2 linked regions of the Notamacropus eugenii genome follow. The protein of the gene in region 1 interacts with the protein of each later gene in a biochemical or structural test. Links are inferred from orthologs where the notes say so. Each region holds a gene or a part of one and is shown in the gene's direction. Other genes may lie near its edges.

Region 1 (7,593 bases):
AAATATGGTTTTGATACCCAAACCAGGAAGAGATAAAACAGAGAAAGAAAATTATAGACCAATTTCCCTAATGAATATAGATGCAAAAATTTTAAATAAGATTGTAGCAAAATGAATACAGCATCTTATCACGAGATTAATACATTATGATCAGGTAGGATTCATACCAGGACTACAGGGCTGGTTCAATATTAGGAAAACTATTAGCATTATCGATCACATCAACAACAAAGCTAACAAAAACCACATGATTATCTCAATAGATGCAGGAAAAGCTTTTGACAAAATACAACATCCATTCCTACTAAAAACATTGGAGAATGTAGGAATAAAGGGAACTTTCCATAAAATAATAAGCAGTATCTATCTAAAACCTTCAGCAAGCATTATATGCAATGGGGATAAGCTAGATGCATTCCCAATAAGATCAGGGGTGAAACAAGGTTGTCCATTATCACCACTATTATTTAATATGGTACTAGAAATGCTAGCTGTAGCAATTAGACAAGATAAAGATATCCAAGGAATTAAAATAGCCAAAGAAGAAACTAAGTTATCACTCTTTGCAGATGATATGATGATTTACCTAGAGAATCCCAGAGATTCAAGTAAAAAATTACTTGAATTAATAAACAACTTTGGCAAAGTTGCAGGGTACAAAATAAACCCACACAAATCTTCTGCATTCCTATATATTAGCAACAAAGTCCAACAGCAAGAGATAGAAAGAGAAATCCCATTTAAAGTTAGGGTAGACAGTATAAAATACTTAGGAGTCTACCTGCCAAAACAAACCCAGGGATTATATGAACACAATTACAAGACACTTTTTGCACAAATAAAGTCAGATTTAAGTAAGTGGAAAAACATTAGTTGCTCATGGGTAGGCTGTGCTAATATAATAAAAATGACAATTCTACCCAAATTAATATACTTATTTAGTGCCATACCAATTAAACTATCATACAATTACTTTCTAGAGCTGGACAAAATAATATCAAAATTCATTTGGAAAAACAAAAGGTCCAGAATATCAAAGGGACTAATGAAAAGAAATGCTTGGGAAGGTGGCCTAGCGCTACCAGACCTCAAACTGTACTATAAAGCAGCAATTATCAAAACCACTTGGTATTGGCTAAGAAACAGAGAGGTAAACAAGTGGAATAGACTTGGCACTCAAGATGCAGCAGGCAAGGAATATAGCAACCTTCTGTTTGATAAACCCAAGGACCCCAGCTTCTGGAATAAGAACTCATTGTTTGACAAAAATTGCTGGGAAAACTGGATAACAGTGTGGCGGAAATTAGGCATAGACCCATACCTGACACCGTACACAAGAATAAAGTCCAAATGGGTACATGATTTAGGTATAAAGATTGATACCATGAATAAACTGGAGAAGCAAGGAATAGTGTATTTATCAGATCTATGGAGAAGGGAAGAATTCTTTACTAAAGGAGAGATAGAATGCATTATGAAATGCAAAATGGATAACTTAGATTACATTAAACTGAGAAGTTTTTGCACAACCAAACCCAATGCAACCAAAATACGGAGGGATGTAGTAAATTGGGAAAGAATTTTTACAGCTAAGCTCGGGGATAAAGGCCTCATTTCTAGAATATATAGAGAACTGACCCAAATGTATAATCATACAAGTCATTCCCCAATTGATAAATGGTCAAAGGATATGAACAGGCAATTTTCAGAGGAAGAAATTAAAGATATCTATAATCATATGAAAAAATGCTCTAAATCACTATTGGTTAGAGAGATGCAAATCAAAACAACTCTGAGGTACCACATCACACCTATAAGATTGGCAAACATGACAGAACAAGAAAATGATAAATGCTGGAGAGGATGTGGGAGAGTTGGAACACTAATTCATTGTTGGTGGAGCTGTGAGCGCATCCAACCATTCTGGAGAGCAATTTGGAACTATGCCCAAAGGGCTACAAAAATGTGCATACCCTTTGACCCAGCAATATCGCTACTAGGACGATATCCTCAAGAGATCATAAAAATGGGAAAGGGTCCCACATATACAAAAATATTTATAGCAGCACTCTATGTAGTTGCCAAAAACTGGAAGTCAAGGGGATGTCCATCAATTGGGGAATGGCTGAATAAATTATGGTATATGAATGTAATTGAGTACTATTGTGCCATAAGAAATGATGAACAAGAAGACTTCAGAGAGGCCTGGAAGGACTTATATGACCTGATGCTGAGTGAAAGGAGCAGAACCAGGAGAACTTTATGCACAGCAACAACCACAGTGTGTGAGAGTTTTTTCTGGTAGACTTAGATTTTTGTAATAACACAAGAACTTCTTACCAAAAAAAAAAAAAAAAATCCCAATGGAGGATCTCAAGGTAAAATGCCTGCCACACTCAGAGAGAGAAATATGGAAGTCACTCACATATTGTAGCAGATCATGTTTGTGTATGTGTATGTGTTTGTGTATCATGTTCTGATTTGTTATACGATTTCTTTCATTTATCTTAGTCTGACTACATAGCATGACTATAGTGAAAATATACTCAATAGGAAAGTATATGTAGAATCTATACAGAATTGTATGCAGTCGTGGGGAGGGAGTGGGGTAGTGGGGAGTAGGTGGGGAGGGATAAAATCGCAATTGTATGGCAGTGATTGTTAAACATTACAAAATAAAAAAAAATAAATTAAAAAAAAAATAAATAAAACCTGGGAAGAATTGTGTGAACACAGCAGAACAAAATGAGGAGAGTAATTTATGCAACAATGTTGGACAGAATACAACAACTTTGAAAGACATAAGAACTATGCTCAATGTAATGACCATTCATGATTTCAGAATACCAGTGATAAAGCCTGTGACTCATCACTTGACAGAAGTGTGATGATTTCAAGGTGCTGAATGAGATACATATTTTTGGACACAGCAAATGTGTGGATTTGTTTCTTTTAACTATTCAAATTCAGAATTGCTTTTATTTATACATTCTTGTTGGAGAAATATTTGGGGACAAAAGAATGTAAAATAAATTGATTTATTTTAAATGAAAACAAAATCCAGCTTCTATAAATTTAGACTATCATTCTCAATAATCTCAATCCTAAAACTTGACCTTATAACATATTTTTCAGTTGTCTTTCTAAGATCAATATAATGTGTCACTATCACCAGAGATATGTAACTTAACATTTTTGAGAAAGAGTTTTTTAAAACACCACTAAAGCTGGTATCTGAAATTCTGCCCTTAAAGATCTACTCATCTTTATCATTAGACACTGTTATTCCTAGGTAGACCCTGCCCAAAGACAGACACCACTGGGAAAGGTAACACATTAGCCTTTAGGTTGAATTAGATCACCAAATTATCTGGACAAGTCACTGAGAAAATAAAGGGAAGGAAAATTCACTTTTCCTAGCAAGATAAGTGGGTTTGGAGGGTCAAGGAAGGCAGAAATCTTATAGAGAATATCAATGGGACCCTGACTACTTTGCTGGGATGCAACTGAGATTTAGAAAGGGAGGAGAAGGTGGCAAAGGGATTGTGACAAACAAACATTTTTTTTCACATTCATTAGAGTTTGTCCTTAACTTCATCATGCCCATCCCATGGTACTTCTATGCCTGAAAAACCACCAGTTTATGGTGAGGGAAATAGCAACAGAAACAACGCAATACAATGTAGTTTGTTAGAACTTGCCTGGTCTGGACGTATAACCCTGGTCTTCGAATGTCCCATGAAGTGTGTGAAGAAAATCACCTGGCTTCTCAGGAAATGGCAGAATCCTTTTCAAGCCTGGCATTCTTCATCCTGCTAATAAGTAATTGTCACTTAAATCAATTGCTTTGCTAATGAAAATGGCCAGCCCTGAAATGAACTCTGACAAGACACAGAATCCAGTTATCCTGCTAACTGATGACTTGTCAGTTGAAATTACAGTGCAGACATTTTTAACAGTGGATGGGGTATGTGATTTGAATTTAAATATTTCACATTTCTACATGGCAGCCAACATTTCTGGGAAGACTAGGCTGACATTTCAGAGTAGGATGAGTTTGAATGACTTGGGTATAGGATTAGCCTAAAGACCTTGAGTTTCAAAATTGTTCACTTTCACACTTATCTTTCGGAAATCTAGGTTTGGGTTCCAGCTCATGTTCAAACTATTGGACTTGAATGAAGTTAGTCACAGGCACATTAAAATCTCACTGTGATTAAGATTCACTCAGCCACAAATACACACCCCTACTTTCTCAAATCAGTGTTACAAAATAGAAATGAAGCAATGCAACAAACAATAACTATAACAACTTTGAGATTTTAGAAAAGTTCTTTGCAAATCCGAATGGTGAAGACTAGCACACACACACACACACACGTGTCAGTACTAATAGAAATTCATGTTTCAAGAGCCTAGTTGTGGCTTTGAATATAGGGTTGTTTATTAGTTAAGAAATATAAATGAGAAGCAGTTTAAAACATTTTAACATCTCTCTCTCTCTCTCTCTCTCTCTCTCTCTCTCTCTCTCTCTCTCTCTCTCTCTCTCTCTCTCTCTCTCACACAGAAATTCAAACTCAATGACTGAGCTCAAGAGATATGCCAGCCTCAAGCTCTCCTTTTGAAAGATAGAGAGGTAAGAGAGAATAGAGATGGGAGGGGGGAAGAGGGAGGGAGAGAGAGAGAGAGAGAGAGAGAGAGAGAGAGAGAAGAGAGAGAGAGAGAGAGAGAGAGAGAGAGAGAGAGAAGCAATGAAATAGGTGAATAGACAGATTGATAGAATGATGAATAGATAGAAAGGCAGAGAGATAGAAATGTATGGATAGATAATAGATTGATAAATAGATAGAGGTAGATATAAAGACAGATGAATAGATAGAGAAGTAGATGATAGAGACAGGCACAGATAGAAATAGAGACATAGACAAATATAGATAGAGAGATGAAGAAATAAGTAAACAAATAGATGAATAAGTAAATAATTTCAGGTCTTTAGTTTTTCTTGACCCTGAAACCAGGAAGACCTGGGATCAATCTTCATCTTTAACACACATTGCTTTTATGATTCTGGACAAGACACGTAATCTCTTGGTGTTCCAGGGAACTATCTAAGAAAAGAAATTGAAGAGGGGACATGGATCTGCACATGCCTCTTACTGCAATCCTCTAAATTATACAATATATGACTCTCCAGAATTAGCTTTGTCCATAGCGTAGATGGCAAATATCCAGCCACAAATGACTTGCTTAATTTCAGGAGCATCAATAAGTTCGCCTCTGGTCTTCAAATGTCTACAGCCTTTGTAAAGTGCTTTGCAAACCTTAACATATTAGCTCTGTCTGACTCCTTCCTGGAAACCTTTCCCTCCTCCTCTTGGACTTCTCACCTCCATAGCTTCCTTTAAGGCTCGACTAAAATCCCACCTTCCTCAATGCCTCTTTATTCCAGTGTTTTCTCTCAGTTAATTACCTACTACTTATTCTACATAGAATTTGCTTTGCTTATATTTGTTTGCATGTTAGATTTTTAAGCTCCTTGAAGGTAGGCAACTTGTTGGTGAGTTGTTGTTTTTTTTTTAGGGGGGGGTGTCTATCTTTATATCCACAACACTTAGTACAGTGCCTAATGCAATTATTATAATTATCATTTTATAGTGCTATTTTATTTATAGAAATACTTTCCAGCACACCAATTATTTCATGCTCTCCTAGTATTGGGCATTCCTTCCGCAATTCTTATTTAAAAGTGACCATCCTGTTATCACTGTCCATATCTCCTTGTAGATCCACTATAGGGGGTCCACCCAAAGTGCTTGGGGGCCTTACTCATATTCTCTGCAAGTCACATAAACATCAAATGAATACCAAATGTTTCTTCTTGCTAAGTGACAAAACCTTCTGCTTGTTCCACCCCACCCCTCCCCTCCCAGTTGGAATCAAACTGCAAAATGTTAGGATTCTTGTTCCATTATCTTTGGTTTGTATGGCCTTGGTTGAACTACTTAGCCTCCAAGGTCTTCAGTTTCCTCCTTTTTATGATGGTGTTGGTTTAGTGTAGGTTTCTAAGTTCTTTCACAGATCTATCATATTCTGTCATTAATTTTATTTTCTTTCTTGAAAACAGTTTTTGTTAGTGAGAAAGCTTGAAGTTACACATTACCAAAGAAGTGAATGTGGGAATGCAGGGATGGGACTAGAAAACTCTGAAGTTGAGGTGCTAAAACTTTCACTCAGTTTTCAGTTCTGTCTCAGGCCAATGAAAGCCCATCCCTTTCTAGGCCCTAATAGATGGTGAATATGTTGGTCACAGGAAATACAGTTACATACCTAACAACACCAAGTCAAATATACAAAAGGGTATAGAAAACAATTTGAAAAGGAGGAGGGGAGGGGGAGCTGTGTTACTTTCTTCTGGGTGACAGTGTGGGATTTAGCCAGAAACTTGAAAAGAGAGAATAGAAATACAAAAGTTTAGAACCCCATCCCTCCCCACCTGAGTTTATTTCTACTATGTTCTAGCAGAAGATTACAGCACCTCCCCTCTGTCTTTCTCTGTCTCCCTGTCTCTGTCTTCATCTCTGTCTCTGTTTCTTTCATGATGGTGGTGGAGAATGTCATAAAATAAAAGAGGGGTGCATCTGCTCATGTTTCAAAGAAATTTTCTTCAGGTTTGCACCTGGTCACAGCCTAGGGGCAGGCAGAAAGAAGCAAGTCAAAACACAGAGACACGAACTTTTCAAACTTTGAAGAGAAATCTCAAAGCATTTGGAACCAGGGAGTTGTTATTAATGTTCTCAGTGCTTTTCAGGGGCTAAGTAAACATCTTCTTGGAGATTTGGATTCTTTTCTCCCTTTTCTGATGTTTGGAAAGCTCCTGGATATCCATAGCTAACAAAATTCTGGATTCATTTAAGAAAATAATAACTACATTCTCTTCAAACCCACCTCCCCAACCACAGAGTGACATATGATCAACTTCTAGATTAGGTATGTTCTCTCACAATCTTGGTGTTCACAGTTAGATCACTTTTTTTTTGGAACAACGATGACGTTATATCTATTGTGCTTTTTACATTTGGGAGGCAAGGGTTAGGGGGAAGAAGGGGGATGCACTTTTAAGGCTGCGTTAGTTTATACAAAACATTTCTGGTCATAAATGTCAGAATCATTTGAGTAATGAAAATAATAAGTGACAGGCTTTTCATATAAAATTCTGGCTTCCTTCCAGGATCCTTTAGGTAACCATTCTAAGTATATAAAAATGCTCCCATAGCATTTAAGATGTAGTACTTGAGTTTCTGTTTAAAAAAATAAACAAAAAAAAATTGCAGAGTGAAGCAAGAGAAGATTGAGTAATTTTTTCTTAACTAAAGATTTCTCACATATTTGATGCAGAACACATTTAGAATAAGTACAAGATAAATACTGGATTATTTGCTAGGCTTCCAGGTATTGTGAATAAGGGAGGAAAAATCCTCCTTTCAGGCTGATAAATGTTACTTATAAACCAGGATAGAAAGAAAAGTTGAGGGGGGAAACAAAGCCAAGCCTTCAGTTAAAAATCTCTCTCTCTCTTTTAAAGGAAATGAATCT
Region 2 (6,919 bases), on another chromosome or scaffold:
CCCAACAATGGGGTGGGCGCAAGGGATCTTGGAAGGAATCGCCTTCCGAAAGGACCAATCAGCAGTGTGCTGGGCGGGCACACACAAAGGGAAAGGGAGCTCTTTCATTATCGCCCCGCCCCATTCTATCTGAGGCCCAATCAGCGGCGTGCGAGGGGAAGGCGAGAGATACCTACTGGTCCCATTTCCTCTCCGACGACCAATCAGCGACGCGAAGGCGTGCACGAATGGTGCGCAGAGAAGACCGCGAGCTTCTGTTGCCAGAGCAACGGCCGGAGCAGGCCCCGGAAGCCGTTCACCCTGCTGACGGTCCCGAAATCTTCAGGTTTCTCGGGTAAATGAGGGGTAGGGGAGGCGAGGGTCGGGCGCCGAGAGACGCGAGTACGTGTTCCTGTACAGTTGTGCTTGCCAGAGAAACAGCGCCTGCGCAGAGGCTGGAGTCATGAGCGTTTTGCCTCGCTCCGGGGATACTGCGCATGTCTATTTGGAAGGAGGGGGCGGAGTTATAAGCCCTAAGGGGAGGAGCTATGGAGATGGGCGGAGTTACCGAGTCTGTAGCTAATAGCGCATATGCCTACATGTATACGTACGTATATATCGTTTTAAGTTTTGCAAAGCGCTTGCTTTACAGATATTATCTAATTGAACCTCAGAACAACCATGGAAAGTCTGTGCTATTATTATCCCCATTTTGAAGTTGAGGAAACTGAGGCAGAGGTTGTGACTTGTCCAGGGTCACTCAGCTACTAAGTGTCTGAGGCTGGATTTGAACCCAGATCTTCAAGACTTTGGGTGCACTGTTCTATCCACTCAATTGAAATCATGATGTGCTCATTTTACAGATGAGGAAACTGAGGCCCAGAGACATGTCCAAGGTCAGGCAGCAGTTTGGTCGCTGCTGAACTTCATTCTTTGTAGTCTTCTGACATCTCTCCTCTCCACTGGGCCATGGCTGAGGTCCATGTCATTGGGCAGATCATTGGGGCAACAGGTTTTTCTGAGAACAGCCTCTTCTGCAAGTGGGGTGTCCATACTGGTAAGTATGTGGGGATAGCATGGCCTCATCTGTTCACATCTCTGGGGAGTCCTCTATACCTTCCCCCCACCCCCGGGGAACTTGACCCTTGACCTTCCTTGTGCACTCAGCTGGAGAGAGTGTGGAACAGAAGGGGAAAGTCCTGAGGTCTTCCTCCTGATTCTTCAGGACCTGTACCCCAAATTGTATCTCCACAGCAGAGTCTTTGCCCACTTAATGGGTGGGTGGGAGATCCTTCAACTCCAAAGAGGCCTAGACCCCCCTCCTTTCCTTCTTTCCTTGGGGACTGTGAGAGTCTTTAGTGGGGGGTGGGAGTGTGGGGATATGAGGAAGGTTTTCGTCCTACATGGAACTTACTGCCCTTCTTTTTGGCTAGACTAGATTTGGAATTATAGAGGCAGAAAGGGACCTAGAGATTTCAGCCAGGAAGCTCTTTTTACAGTAGAAGAAGCCAAAGTCTAATTAGGTCACTGATGGGACCAGGACTTGAGCCCAGGGCTCTTTCCAGTGCCATAGCGGCCCCTCCCTCTAACCCAACAGAATCCCTTCTTCTAGTCCCTCCCTCCCTCCCCTCAGTGACCCTTTCCTTTCCTGACTGGCAGGAGGAGCATGGAAACTGCTGTCCGGTGTTCGGGAAGGCCAGACACAAGTGGACACCCCTCAGCTGGGTAGCATGGCCTACTGGTCTCACCCAATTGACCTGCATTTTGCCACCAAAGGCCTACAGGGTAAGGGCAGGGGTCCCAGGCTCTGAGTAAGTGAGCTGGGAAGGGACTGCTCCAATTGGACAGGGAGATGAGGCTCTGTCCAGTTCAGGGCACCTAGTAGTCCTTCAGGCTGGACCCTGGGGTTGGGGAATCCCACCTGGACCCCCAGAGACTGGGAAGGTTGAAGAGAAAGACAAAAGAGACTCAGAGATGGTCTGTGTTGTTTATTAGACCTGACAGATCTGTCATTTGTGGGTGCTCCTGGTCAGAATATGGGCATCAGTGGTTGGCGGGAGCAGCTTAAGATGGCAGAATGCCTTTGGGGGACTGGGAGTGGCTACAGGAGCCTGAACAAAATCAGGGAAGGAAGACAGAAACCCAAGCCTTGGGAAGAAGGGCAGACTTGGCCAGCAGAAGACTGAGGTAGACCCTCTCCTCTCCCCAGGCTGGCCTCGGCTCCACTTGCAAGTGTGGTCTCAGGACGTCTTTGGCCGCTGCCAGTTGTCCGGCTATGGCTTTTCCCACATTCCCAGCAGCCCCGGCATCCATAGCCTTGACTGTGTGACATGGCGCCCCTTGGGTGGCTGGCGGGAGCAGTTGGCTCGGGCCTTCGTGGGTGGTGGGCCCCAGCTGCTACACAGTGATGTAGTCTACAGCGGGGCCGACCGATACCGGCTCCACACAGCAGCAGGGGGCACCGTGCACCTGGAGCTGGCCCTGATCCTGAGAAACTTTTCCCGATATGGGGTTGAGTGCTGAGCACCTCGGCCAGCTCCCAAGCCCTTATCCCTCCATCCCCCAATTCTCCATCTCACTTCCTTCCCTCCCCTCCTCTTTTCTGTCTGTCCCCGGGCTCCTGGCCTCAGCAATCAATCAACCAACTCTTACTGAACTTTTATTATGTGCCAGGTACTGCCCTAAGAAAGCCTTGGGGTACCAAGAAGGAGCAACATGGCTCTGTCCTGGGGCATCCATGTCAATGGGGGCGATTTCATGTAAAGAAATATATGAATTGGTCTATACAAGATTCCGACAGAGTACAAACATCTCATTTCTATCCCTTCCTTACTGTCAGACCTGAGTCCAACCCCTTGTTTCACCAGAGGGGGAAACTGAGCCCAGGGATGCCCTGGTTGAGTGACTGAGCCCCAAAATGTCCGAGTTCAAGGGAGTCTTAGAGACCCTGGATGCCATCTAGTTCATTCCACTCTTTGGAAAATGGGGACACCTAGGTCCCTAAAGTGAAAAGCGCCTACTTCCAGGGACCTGGAGCCCGGGGTCCAGCCATTGCAGGGCCTTCTTAGACCCACTTCCTGGACTCCTTCTGGGCCGGGTGGATGATGTTCCCCTTGTGACCCTCCCCTTCTGCTCTTTCCCCTTTCCTCCCCTCCTTGGGTCATTCCCCCCAGAGGCCAGGCTGTCTTTTCAGCGCCCCCAGCACCCCAATAATCCCGGCTATTTTCTCCTCCATTTTCTGTCCCCCCCTCCTGCCGCGGTGTTTTCTCCAGTTTTTCTGCAGTGCCGTCCTCAGTGAAGCTCTGACCCTTAGGCTGGGACCTCGTGCTGAAATGGGACTTGCTCCCTGCCCTCCGAGGATACTCCGTCCAGTGGCCGCAGGGGATGACACCCCAGGACCCCCAATCCCTTATCTGTCCTGTCTCTCAGTCTGGTCCTCCCACCCCTCCCCCATCTCCTCCTCCTGACCCCTTCCTATAAGTGGCCGCGGATCGGAGGCTGAACCCGTCCCAGGGTCTGGATGGGGCCGGGACCAGTAAGGAGCAGCACCCGCCGCTCATTGGGGGACTTCCTCACTCCGACCCAGGGAAGACCAGGGCTGGGAGAGTCCCGGGTGCGTTCTCCCGGCGCTTGGCGGCCTCTCCCCTTTGCGGCCAGGGCCTGGGCGGACGCCCGGGCGACGGGGTGGGGGTGAGCCCCTAGCCCAGCCCGCTATTCCCATCCCGTCCCCCATTGCTGGCGTGGGGGGAGTGAGGACGCCGGGGTCCCGGAGGCGGGGCGCCATCCCCCGGCCTCCGGGCGGCTGGGGGGGGGGGGAAGCCGCGCTTCCCTCCCTCCTTCCCCTCCTTCCCCCCGCCTTTCCTCCCCGGCCCCCGCGCGCGCTTCCTGGGTGGGGCCGCAGCCGCTTCAAAAAGCTCCGAAGCCCGAACCCGGCTGCCCCGCCGGAGCTGCCGCCCGCCCCCTGCCCCTGCCCTCCGCCGCCCCCGAGCCGAAGCTGCGATCCCAGGGGGCGCCCCCCGTCCCGTCTCGGCCTGAACCGCCGCCACTGCCTCGCAACCCAGCCCCGCCCCGGCCCATGCGGGGCCCCTGGGGCCGGCCGGGACCCCCCCGGCTCTAGCGGGGCCCGGGTCGCCGGCCCCAGCGGGAGGAAGGAGGAAGGACGAGGAGGAGCCGGGGGCCCAGGAGCCGCTGTCTCCAGAGCAGCCGCAGGAGCCGCCGCCGCCGCCGCCGCCGGGAGGAGGGGGGAGGGGGGAGGAGAAGGAGGAGGAGGAGGGACGGGACTTGTTGCCCAGAAGTTGAGACTTTCTCACCGGCCGAGCCGGAGCGCGCCCTGCCTGCCCCCGGGAGCCAGGGCCACCGCGCCCTGGACCCTCCGGACCTAGCCGCCCCTCGCACCCGGCAGCCCGCCCCCCTCCCCGAGTCAAGGAGAGCCCCCCGAGACTCCGGACTTTTCCGCCCCCCGGCGTGCTGTCCTTGCAAGTTCCCCCCCGCACGCTGCAGGGGTCACATCTCCCCGTCAGTCTCAGGCCCCCTCCCCTCCCGGCAGACCTCCCCGAAGGGCCCCAGGCTTTCCCCTCGCGGATCCCGAGCCCTCCCGGGCGATTTCCTTTTCCCCGCCGCCGGCCCAGAGGCCAGCGTCGCCGCAGCGTGTGCCTCTTCCTCCATGCCGCCCTCGGGGCTGCGGGCGGCGGCGGCGGCTGCCCTGGTGCCGCTGCTGGCTCTCCTGCTGGTCCCGCCGCGCCCGGCGGTGGCCATGTCCACCTGCAAGACCTTGGACATGGAGCTGGTGAAGCGGCGGCGCATCGAGGCCATCCGCGGGCAGATCCTGTCCAAGTTGCGGCTGGACAGCCCGCCGCCCCAGGGCGACGTGCCCCCGGGCCCGCTGCCCGACGCCGTGCTCGCCCTCTACAACAGCACCCGGGACCGCGTGGCCGAGCCGGGGCCCGAGGCCGAGACCGACTACTACGCCAAGGAGGTCACCCGGGTCCTCATGCTGCCCCAGAATCCGGGTGAGCCCTCGGGGGCAAGCGGGCACCGGTGGGCCCGGGGGAGGGCTGCTCGCAGGAGAGGAGGGACACTCGGGTAGCAAGAGGCGAACAGTCGGGCAAACGGGGGAGCCCCGGCCAGACCCACGAGGGCGGCCACACGCCGTGGGCGGGGCGTCCCTCTGCCGGCCGGGAAACCCCGGAGTCCAGCCCCTGGCCCTCCCTCCCTCTCGCCAGTGGCCCCGGGGCAGGGAATCGGCAGCTGGAGCCTCGGGGTAGGAGGGCGAGCAGAGACAGGTCGCAGCCCGGCTCGCCCGCTTTGGGCCCCGCCCTCTCCGGTGCTGGCCCCCACCGGGGACCGGACCCGGGGCTCCCGGCCGACCTCGACCCCTGGCCCTGGGCAAGGCTTCCCGCTTTCTCTCGGGCCTGGGGACTTTTGCTGAAGGGCAGCGAGGGTCTCTGCTTGACTTTTTCTCCCTGCTCCGAGTCCCCTTCTCTGAATCGTGGCCCCTCCAGCTCTGTTCTCCTGCTGCCTCTTCAGAAAAAGTCCTGAGTTTGGAGTGGGAAGACCTGAGTTCAAATCCCATTTCTTCCACTCATTACCGGTGGCAAGGCCGAATAGTCCTCTCCAGCTCCTAAACTGTCTGGCCTTTTCTCTCTTCTCCTGCGTCCTTGTTCCTCTGTATTTTCCCTCCCCCTTTCTATCTTGTTCCTTCTCTCCCCTTCACCCCCTCCCCAAGCAGAGTAACCCTGCATCTGGAGTCAGAGAAGGCCTAGGTTTTTCCACTTTCTACCTACCCCGGTTACATTGGGCAAGTCACTTAATTCTCTAGACCTCCTCACTTTCCTCGATTGTGAAATGAATGTAGAACTCAAGAGCCCCTAATGTCCCATCATCTACCTCTAAATCTATGTTCCTATTGGGCTTCTCCCTGACTCTCTCCTTCTACATTCTGGTCCCTTGGTCTCCCTGGGGCTCAGGCCACCCAGAGACTGGCTCTGTGGTTTCTGAATTGGCTCAGCCACAGAGTTGTTTGGAGGACCTGGGGGTGGGGGTGGGGGGCTGGAGAGGGCATCATATCAGGAAGCAGAAAGGGAGGGAAGGACATCTTTTCAAGCTCCGGGTGTGTATGGGCCCCTTGGCTCCACCATCTTTCCTTAGGCTTCCCTTCCACTTCTCTGATGAGGCAGGCAGGCCAGGGCCAGAGATGCCTTTGGCTAAGACTGTGGCATGGCTTCTTCTGATTGCTCTCTCCCTGTCTGCCCCCCCAGATGCTGATAAGATCCCTCACAGTGTTTACTTCCATTTCAACACCTCGGAGCTCCAGGAAGCTGTACCTGATCCAGCTCTGCTGTCTCGAGCAGAGCTCCGGATGCTGAAGATCAAGTCAACAGAAGAACAGCATGTGGAACTCTATCAGGTGAGCCCAGGCTGATGGGGCTTGTGGGGGCTGGCAGGGTCTGTGGGGGAGGCCACCTCCAGGGCTGTTCCCTCACTGCCCTTCATCCTCCCCGAAGAAATTTGGCAATGGTTCCTGGCGCTACCTGACCAGCCAGCGGGTCCGGCCCAGCCAGACCGTGGAGTGGCTGTCCTTTGATGTTACCAGTGTGGTATACCAGTGGTTGAGTAGCAAAGGTGAGGTTGGGAAAGGCAGAGGGAGGTGGACACTCTGGGGAGAAAGAAGAGGGGGGCTTCCTGAGCCCTCCCCTTTCAGTGAATATTCCCATCTATGAAAGGAAATCAGGTTCAGAGATTATCATGCATGCACACATATAAATAAAATAGGGATTAATTCAATTCAATAGAACAGTTACAGATATTCCCTGTACCCCCATGACAGTCTTTTTTTACCCAGTCAGGAACTTGGTTGCCTCAGGTTAGGAACTCGAGCTCTCTCTAGGTGGTGTCTCCTGGGACCCTAGACCTATCCCTTCACCTTCCCTGTGTGCCTGCC

Evidence for each region. The genes of interacting proteins can lie anywhere in the genome.
Region 2: the proteins of DCN (region 1) and TGFB1 form a complex in vitro, tested with the Homo sapiens proteins (3 studies listed by BioGRID). The link is inferred for Notamacropus eugenii from reciprocal best matches to the Homo sapiens genes DCN and TGFB1.

Annotation. Positions count from the first base shown.
Region 1 is NC_092874.1:273,543,477-273,551,069, reverse strand, and holds the start of DCN (decorin), read left to right. Parts: upstream 1-4,572; 5' UTR 4,573-4,636; intron 4,637-6,582; exon of another isoform or gene 6,583-6,987; intron 6,988-7,593. UniProt on the Homo sapiens protein: May affect the rate of fibrils formation.
Region 2 is NC_092876.1:29,868,112-29,875,030, forward strand, and holds the start of TGFB1 (transforming growth factor beta-1 proprotein), read left to right. Parts: upstream 1-3,915; 5' UTR 3,916-4,642; coding exon 4,643-4,988; intron 4,989-6,236; coding exon 6,237-6,385; intron 6,386-6,482; coding exon 6,483-6,600; intron 6,601-6,919. Other genes in the region: B9D2 (B9 domain-containing protein 2), read left to right, coding at 949-1,036, 1,639-1,764, 2,189-2,502. UniProt on the Homo sapiens protein: Transforming growth factor beta-1 proprotein: Precursor of the Latency-associated peptide (LAP) and Transforming growth factor beta-1 (TGF-beta-1) chains, which constitute the regulatory and active subunit of TGF-beta-1, respectively.